Linked DNA regions of Canis lupus familiaris. The main gene of each other region encodes a partner of the protein of the gene in region 2 in a complex. Links are inferred from orthologs where the notes say so. Each region holds a gene or a part of one and is shown on either strand. Other genes may lie near its edges.

Region 1 (3,992 bases), on a different chromosome or scaffold from region 2:
CCCCAGGCCTGCAGAATCCAAATCTAAATTTTACCAAGAGCCCAGTGATTTCTATACACGTTAAACCTTGAGAGACGCTGGTTTCAAGCTTTCCCTGGTTGGACTATAAATCTTTCTAGGGATCTCTTTCATCTGCCCCCAGAGTGTATCTTATGGCCTGATACCCAAATGTCTTTTGAGTTAAGTTTTATTTACAATTATTACATATGTGATACGTTTTTTAAATTCCTGGAGGAATGTCTACCATATTGTTAAAAACAGAAGACACCATGTGTTTTCACTTTCTGTGATATTTCTGTTTTTCGCAACCAGAATGTGAGATCTTTACAGGCACAAACACATGAAGGTTTGGAAAAGTAGAAAATCTAATACGTTCACAAAATGGTATATGATGTGTGTAATAGTATCTACTGTAATTGTGTTGAGCTATTTTTACAGATACGAAAAGATGGGCAAACTATGTTTTTTGAACAAGATTAAATAACCCTAAAAAAAAAAAAAGATTAAATAACCCTATAGATAGATCAATGACGCTATATTTGGGTTTGGTTTCTTTGTGTGTGTGAATATGGACACCGTAAGGGTCTATATATCAAAATATCACTGATGGAGCTTTATTTGTACTTTTCTACACTTAAGAATTTTTTGACATTTCTATGATTTTTTTTCATTTCTATGATTTAAAAAAAAAATATATATATATATATCACTTTTGTAGTAAGGAAAAAAGTCATTTTCATTTTAAAAATATCTATACTCTTTATTAAGCCTCTTTACATTCAGTGACCCAGATTTTTCCACAACCCCCGAAGCTGATAGGTCTGGAAATACCCGACCATTTTACAGATGAAGGCAATGGGCTTCAGAAATGTAACCCCCAGGGCCTGATTCGGGGAGGTCTTCTCCCACCGTGGAGCTACTCTCAGATCAAAACAATGTGGTGAATCAGGCGCCAGCTTTGGTCAAAACCCCTGTCATTGTAACCATCTTGCTCTCCCCAGCTACTAACTGGGACAGGGGGACAAGAGAACTCCTCAAAGTCGGAGCCCTGAGCATAATTCATGCTGCACCACCTCCCCCTGGTGGTGGCTCTAGAAACTGGAGCTGTCCGGACAGTGAGGAGCTACAGCAGTTAGGGAACAGGGACACTCTGGGAGGTACGACGCTTTGACTTGCGGTTTTTCGACTCTTACGATGGGATGGTGCAAAACGCCACACGTGTCCACCAGAAACCGTCCTACACATTTTGAATGTGGCTCTCTCCCTGGGCTGGCAACTTGCGGCATGCTTGTGATGCTGGGCGGCGGCAGCATGCCACAGCTCAGTCAGCCCAGAGATCACAGGGGCAAACAACCTACAGCCATTCTGTGCCCGTACAGCTATTCTGTTTTTCAACCAATTACAGAAGATATTCAACATTTCATTGTAAGTTTGTGGTAGATGATTTTTGCCCAACTGTAGGCTAGTGTGAGTGCTTGGGCACCGGTTTGGTAGGTTAGGTGTATTAAGAGCATTTCTGACTTCCGATATTTTCAACTTATGATGGGATTATCAGGAGGTAACCCATCGAGAAAGATCTGTACTGTCTTCCATCAATATCACCTTTACTTCTTTAAATCAAGAAGAATCCTGTTCCATCAAGGAATCAGGTACTGACCCAAATACACGGAACAGGGCCAGGTGTCAACCAAGCTCAGAGCTTTGGATGATGCCGAGGGCGAGGCCACACTCCCTCCCCTCTCCCTCCCCACTGCTTCTGTGGCAGCGGCTCCTGCCCCAGTGTTCTGCACTGCTTTCCCCCATTCTCTCTGCCTCCTTCCATTCCCAAGCTTATGAAAGGCCAAGCGGTGGCCCATGTGCCCTCAGCCATGATGTCGCAGGGAGAGGTCCCAACATCAGAAGCCTGTCCTCAGGCTCTAGGCACTGATTTTTCTTTTCTTTTTTTAAGGCTTTATTTATTTATTCATGAGAGACACAGAGAAAGAGGCAGAGATACAGGCAGAGGGAGAAGCAGGCTCCCTACAGGGAGCCCGATGTGGGACTGGAACCCGGGTCTCCAGGATCACGCCCTGGGCTGAAGGTGCTGCTAAACCGCTGAGCCATTCGGGCTGCCCTAGGCACTGATTTTTCAAGTATGTCAGGTCACCACACTAGAAAGCACCAATGTCAGTCTTCAGCTGCGTCCCCCTTGTCTGCTGATAAACACACAGCTTTCTTACTCTTCCAGGAAAAAGGAAACATTCAACAGGGTATCTGGAATAGGAGGAGAGAAAAACTGTAGCATATCACCCTCTCCAGAGAATGCAAAACATCAGATTTATAAGAAACACAGACGCACTGCAAGGGCATCTCTGTAATGCTTCCAAAGAAGTGAGAGACACACACACACACACACACACACACACACACACAGAGCAGACATGAAGTAATAAATGAAAACCAGCACCTTGTACAAGGCTTTGGTGCTCATCTTCTGAAATTTGGTCCCAGGCCTTGGGCAAAGCTTGGATGTTTGCCAAGTCTCCCCACTGGATCGAGGACAGAAGGTACTTTCTCTTCAGGTAACTTCCTGGAAGTTAAGGACTACCCAAAAAGCAAATGAAATATGTTGAAGGGGAAGGGATCCCTGGGTGGCTCAGCGGTTTGGCACCTGCCTTTGGCCCAGGGCATGATCCTGGAGTCCTGGGATCGAGTCCCACATCAGGCTCCCGGCGTGGAGCCTGCTTCTCCCCCTGCCTGTGTCTCTGCCTCCCTCTCTCTCTCTCTCTCTCTCATAAATAAATAAATAAATCTTTAAAAAAAGAAAGAAGGAAGGAAGGAAGGAAGGAAGGAAGGAAGGAAGGAAGGAAGGAAGGAGAAAGAAAGAAAGAAAGAAAGAAAGAAAGAAAGAAAGAAAGAAAGAAAAGAAAAGAAAAGAAAAGAAAAGAAAAGAAAAGAAAAGAAAAGAAAAGAAAAGAAAAGAAAAGAAAAGAAAAGAAAAGAAAAGAAAAGAAAAGAAAAGAAAAGAAAAGAAAAGAAAGATGTTGAAGGGGAAAAATGCCCAGGGGAGAGCGACCGGGAGCCAGAAGAGTGAAAGGGTGGCCTATCTTTCCATTTACCAGGTGGCAGGACTCACCAACGCTACCGATCTTTACCGAGCACCTCCTCACTCACAGAGCTACAAGGCCAGAGGGATGAAATGTTACCCCAACAACCTAGGATCTCACCATAAAAAAAAAAAAAAAGCAAGCCAGGAACTGAAAAGATACAATCTCAGTGACGTTAAAGGGGAAACTGTATAGCAGTTCCGAGGATGAAAACCTCCCTTGGCTGGGGGGGATGGCGGGGCGGGTGGCAGCAGAAGGATTCCAGCTGGCAGGAAAGGCGTAAGCAAAGGCACAGAAGTGGAGAAGCACGGACTGGTTTCAGGGCCTAGTAAATCCTCCCATCTGGCCAGCAAGGAACATTAGCAGGGAAGGTGGCTGAGAAGGCAGGTCGAGCCAGAACATAAAGAGCACTGAAGACCACCATGGGGATTCCGGTCCGTGAGCAATGGAAGCTGCTCAAAACTCCAATGTTGGCAACGGGCAGAACAAAGACATCTTCAGAAGGAAGTGAGGTCACAGCGGCTGGAGCCAGCTTAGAGGGAAAGAAGCCAGAGGTGGAGAAACCTATCAAGAGGCTGCATAGACCAGGGGCCACACGAGAGGCAAGAAACTACGGAAGAGGCAGTGCAGATACAGAAGGAAGATACGAGGGCCCAGGGAACAGAATCAAAGCACCTGCCAAGGGGTCGTGTGGACTTTCTCAGAACAGTACCTGGCACGTCATCAGTGCTCAGTACTGCTGGCTGAGGCTCCATCAAAAACACAGGCTGATTGTTACCTTCTTCTCAAAACCTTTGAATAGCTTCCCGTCGAAGCCAAGATCCTTTCAAAGACCTCCGAGGCTCTGCAAGGTCCGGCCCGGTCTCTCGGAATCCGTCTCCTATCGGGCTCCCCTTCCTCACTCCA
Region 2 (4,531 bases):
CATGGTTGATTAAGTCACTGGGCAGTGCCCATTGATTGAACCTCCAGCCCCTCTCCCCTGGAGGCACAGGGGAGTCAGGTGGGGCTGAAAATTCTAACCCTTTAATAATCACATGATTGGTTTCTGTAGGGGGGAACCAGCCCCCATCCAAAGGTCACCTTCCCAAAAGTCACCTTATCAACATAACAAGACATCCTGCTCATTCTCACACTGCAGAAACACCAAGGGTTTTACCTCTGTGCCAAGAACAAGAAAAAGACCAAATATTTTCTTATTATAAACCACAATATCACAGCCTGTTATGCAAGTCCTTTCTACCACTTCTCCAGCTTCCCCCAGCTTGCTCTCCATGCCTTAGGGCTAGCTCTGTACAAGTTCTGACTTTGACCTAGAATATTTCCCCTGGCCATGTGTGTCTCCACTCACTTGGCTAACTCCTAGTATTCTTTAAGGCTCTGCTTATTTAAGGATCATATTGGTTTTCCCTTCATTCTTTACTTATACCACTAACCAACAATATGCCAGGCACGGGGGATGAAATGACTGAATGAATCATACCAGGACCATTTTCATGGAACTTACTTTCCAAAGAGGAGGTGGATAATAGACAACCAAATGACCATGACCAATTTGTATCTTGGTAAGTGCCCGGATAGAAAAGAAAATGGGGTCTTGTGTTAGAGTGAACCCCTGAAGAGATGTTATTTAGGCTTGTTGAAAGGTCAACAGTATGGGTCCTAATGTGAGAATGAGCTTGGTGAGTCTGAAAAACTGAGCAAGGCCAGTGTATCTACGATGAGGGCAGAAGCAGAAAAATGTTCACCTTTAGCCCAGAAGGCTGACCTTTAGTCTACATAGTTCTGAACAAAGATCAAATATGTACTGGTTAAAAAAAATAATAATAATAAAACGTGCTGGTTGCTACATTCTTTTTTTTTTTAAGTTTTTGGTTTTTCTTTTTTTAAAGATTTTATTTATTTATTCATGAGAGACATAGAAAGAGAGGCAGAGACATAGGCAGAGGGAGAAGCAGGCTTCCTGTAGGAAGCCTGATGCGGGACTTGATTCCAGGACTCTGGGATCTCGACCTAAGCCAAAGACTTAGCTCAACCACTGAGCCAACCAGGTGCCCCTGGTTGCTACATTCTTTTTTTTTTTTGTAATTAATTAATTAATTTATTTATGATAGTCACACAAAGAGAGAGAGAGAGAGAGAGGCAGAGACACAGGCAGAGGGAGAAGCAGGCTCCATGCACCGGGAGCCCGATGTGGGATTCGATCCTGGGTCTCCAGGATCGCGCCCTGGGCCAAAGGCAGGCGCCAAACCCCTGCGCCACTCAGGGATCCCGGTTGCTACATTCTTAAAGGGTCTCATAACTGTCTGTAAATCTCACTGATAGTTAATATCGAACTGAATGATAAGCACCAGAGAAATGTTGCAAAAGTAGTTTTATGGGTAGAAATTCAAGGAAACATGTATAATACCCTCTGCATGTCTCCTCCCCCTTGACCACTAAGCATATAACCACCAGCTTCATACCGCAAAAATGCAGCCCTTTCTGCCCACAGGTTCTGTCCCCAGGCTACTTAAATAAACTTACTAAGTTGCACCACGCAACATCCCAAGAATTCTTTCTTGACTGTTGTGCTCCATGACCCCACATCACTTATAATGGAAGGGTGGTGGGGAGGGATCTGGGTGAGGAAGCGGTCAAGCAAATGGAACCTTACATACTAAGATAAAGAGTTTAGGTTTATTCCAAGTCAGTGGAAAGGAACCAATAAGCTTTGAGTAGGAAAGTGATATGATCTGATTTAGGTTTTCAGAAAGCCACTCCTTCCACAAAGAAATCTTCCTGGATCTCCCAGGTTGGGTTAGGACTCATTGCACTAGATGTCGCACCTCTTCTTGAACTATCACCGACACTCACTAGTGTGGTAGACTTGCTGGGTGGACTGTGAGGCCACCCGAATAGTGACTATGTCTTGTTTCCCTCTCCTAACCTAGACACACAGTAGGTGACAAATGAAATGTGTTAAATGGAGAAATAGCTTTTACCACCTGCACTATCATCTCCTAAGGGTTTCTCTCCTGCAGTAGGCGCTCCTTGAGGGCGAAGACCACATCTGATTCATTCTCCGTCTGCTCCATATTTAGCAACCCAAACCACAGATCTAACTCCAAGGGACCCCAGGCCAGGAGGGAAAGAGACCAGGAACGAGAGGCCCAGCACAGAGCAGAGAGGTTCAGCATAGCGGCTCCCTCCCTGATCCTCCCAACCTGCGCACGTTACTACGTGGGATCAAGGTGAGGCTCAAACGAGCTGACCCACAGAGCACTAAGGGCACCACACGGCACGCAGCGAGCACTTCGCCGATTGACAGCTCTTATTAGAAGCAAAGGGCTCTGTGCGGCGGGTAATCCCGAGGGGAACTCAGGGAAAGGTTTTGGGAGGAGCTGGGCATGCAAGCCCTGGCACCCGAGCACCCCCGCTAGCGCTAGTTTACAAAGACAATTACAATTTGGGGGGTCAGGATGTGCTGACACTCCCTCGCACACATCCAGTAGTTCTACGCGGGAAGACCACAGAGGCCCGGTCAAGCCGGTGGGCTCCGGGACCGCCCGCCGAGCCGCAGGACGCTCCCCCGCGCGCGCGCACCCACCTGCCATGCGTCCGCAGGTATCCCGGGAAGGAGCGCGAAGCCCCGCCCACGCCTACCGGAAGCGCGCTGACGTGCTTCCGCTCCGCGCCGCTGGCCGGCCGCCACTTGTGGCTCTGCCGCTCTAGCCCCCGCCTGTCGCTCAGCTGGGCCTGGCGCGGTTGCCTAGGGAACGGGCTCCCGGCAGCCCCCGCGGCCCGGAGTCCGTCCCCGCCTCCTCCGGCCGGGCCCGGCCGACGAGTCCGGAGGGGCCGCCGCGGGAGGTGAGTCCCCTTCCTCCGCGCCCCTTCCTCGGCCTCCCCGGGGCCGCCCTTCCCTGGCCTCGGCGCCTGGGGTCGCCCTGCCCGTCTCGCCCGCGCGCCAGCACCTGAGGCGCCAGGCTGGGCGGTCCTCCGCCGCATCCCCGGGCCCTCATCCCTCATCCCTCATCCCTCATCCCTGGGCCGTCATCCCTCATCCCCCGTCCCGCGTCCTCGGTCCCCCTGCCGGCCCGCCCGCGGCGCCTGCCTGCCTGACGTTGCGCCCGGTCCCCCGACCCTCCGCGCCCTGGCGCTGCTGGCGTAGACCTGGGCACGCACCCCCAGGTGTTCAGGAGGGTGAATGCCCCCCCCCCCCCAGTCCTGCCTTAAGGCCTGGGAGGCTTCAAGGAGGGGGTGCCCCGGCTTCAGACCCCCCAGCCGTGCGCTCGGCGCAGGTGATGCCACGTCGCTGCGCTGCAGCTTTATCATCCGTTAAACGGGGATGATAACGCCTTCTACGCCTGGGTGGGAGGATCAGGTGGGTCCGTGCGTGCGAAGTGCTGAGCACCGAGCCTGGCACCTGATACACTTCACTAAAGGGTCGCCCCTTGCTGTGGTTGCCCACATGCTCTACTTCCACTTCCCTTCCCTGCTCTGGATCCTTCCTCACTCTCTCGCTGACACTCAGGAATCTTAAGTCTGTTACGTTTGTTCCTTCTGTTCCATCTGCTGGCGGGACTGTGGGGTCCCAGCCTGGGTGCACGCTTTATCTGCTGGAGTGATGCGTTGCACTTGGGGGTGACCCCACCCCCACCCACCCCCGCGCACTTCTTGCAAACACAGCATGAGCAGAATCTGGGAGTAAAGCCACTGTATCCTGTGTAGTCGCCAGTGTCTCCTAAGCTGCAGGGCTTTTTGTGTTTTCTCACACCCAGTGAAGTGCACCTTGATAGGGTTTCTGACCTTGTAGGGCTTTTTGTTTTGTTTTGTTTGAAATGTCAGCTTACATCCCATGTTCGTTCATTCACCAGGGATTATTCGGGGTCCCTTGAATGTCAGCCATGTGCTAGGCTCTAGGGATGCTGTGGTCCCAGTCGCTGCCCACTGCCCTCAGGGAGCTTTCTAACCAGAGAACCAGCCTGTACAAATAGGGGGGATGCTCTCCCTGAGTTTTCAGGACTGGCCTTGAGACTATGGTGGAGAGGATGGGATACGGATAGCCCTCCTGGAGGAGTGACTAGCAAGTGGTTTTCAGAGGTTTAAGTTATTTTGGAGCCACATTGTCTTTCTCTTTTTTTTTTTTTTTAAGATTTTTATTTATTTATTGAGACAGAGAGAGAGGCAGAGACACAGGCAGAGGGAGAAGCAGGCACCATACAAAGAGCCCGACGTGGGACTCGATCCCCGGTCTCCAGGATCACGCCCTGGGCTGCAGGTGGCGCTAAACCGCTGGGCCACCCGCGCTGCCCCACATTCTCTTTCTCAGTAGAAGACTGGCTTCTACTGATTTGTTTTCCAGTTTTCTCCTAGGAAGGTAACACTTCAAGTTTGGATTTTATATTAGCCTCTGGATAGTTTGGACAAAATGGTTCCTGGCCCTTGGGGGAAAAAAAGAAGGAAACAGCATCAGT

What was found.
Region 1: the proteins of CINP (region 2) and C15H1orf109 are in contact, whole or in part, in a cryo-EM structure (PDB 8RHN), measured with the Homo sapiens proteins. The link is inferred for Canis lupus familiaris from reciprocal best matches to the Homo sapiens genes CINP and AIRIM. Residues at the interface, in NP_116019.1 of Homo sapiens: Leu161, Leu162, Thr165, Glu169, Asp177, Leu178, Leu180, Ser181, Tyr182, Ser184, Met185, His188, Pro190, Tyr191, Val192, Glu193, Ser194; in NP_001289959.1 of Homo sapiens: Leu107, Gln110, Ala113, Ala114, Asn116, Leu117, Phe119, Val122, Ala124, Leu125, Phe128, Pro129, Asp130, Leu131, Arg134, Leu135, Lys138, Gln139, Ala142.

Annotation. Positions count from the first base shown.
Region 1 is NC_049236.1:4,889,747-4,893,738, reverse strand, and holds the end of C15H1orf109 (uncharacterized protein C1orf109 homolog), read right to left. Parts: intron 2,566-3,992; coding exon 2,447-2,565; intron 2,254-2,446; coding exon 2,216-2,253; 3' UTR 734-2,215; downstream 1-733. UniProt on the Homo sapiens protein: Part of the 55LCC heterohexameric ATPase complex which is chromatin-associated and promotes replisome proteostasis to maintain replication fork progression and genome stability.
Region 2 is NC_049229.1:70,737,684-70,742,214, forward strand, and holds the start of CINP (cyclin-dependent kinase 2-interacting protein), read right to left. Parts: upstream 2,808-4,531; 5' UTR 2,672-2,807; coding exon 2,665-2,671; intron 1-2,664. UniProt on the Homo sapiens protein: Component of the DNA replication complex, which interacts with two kinases, CDK2 and CDC7, thereby providing a functional and physical link between CDK2 and CDC7 during firing of the origins of replication.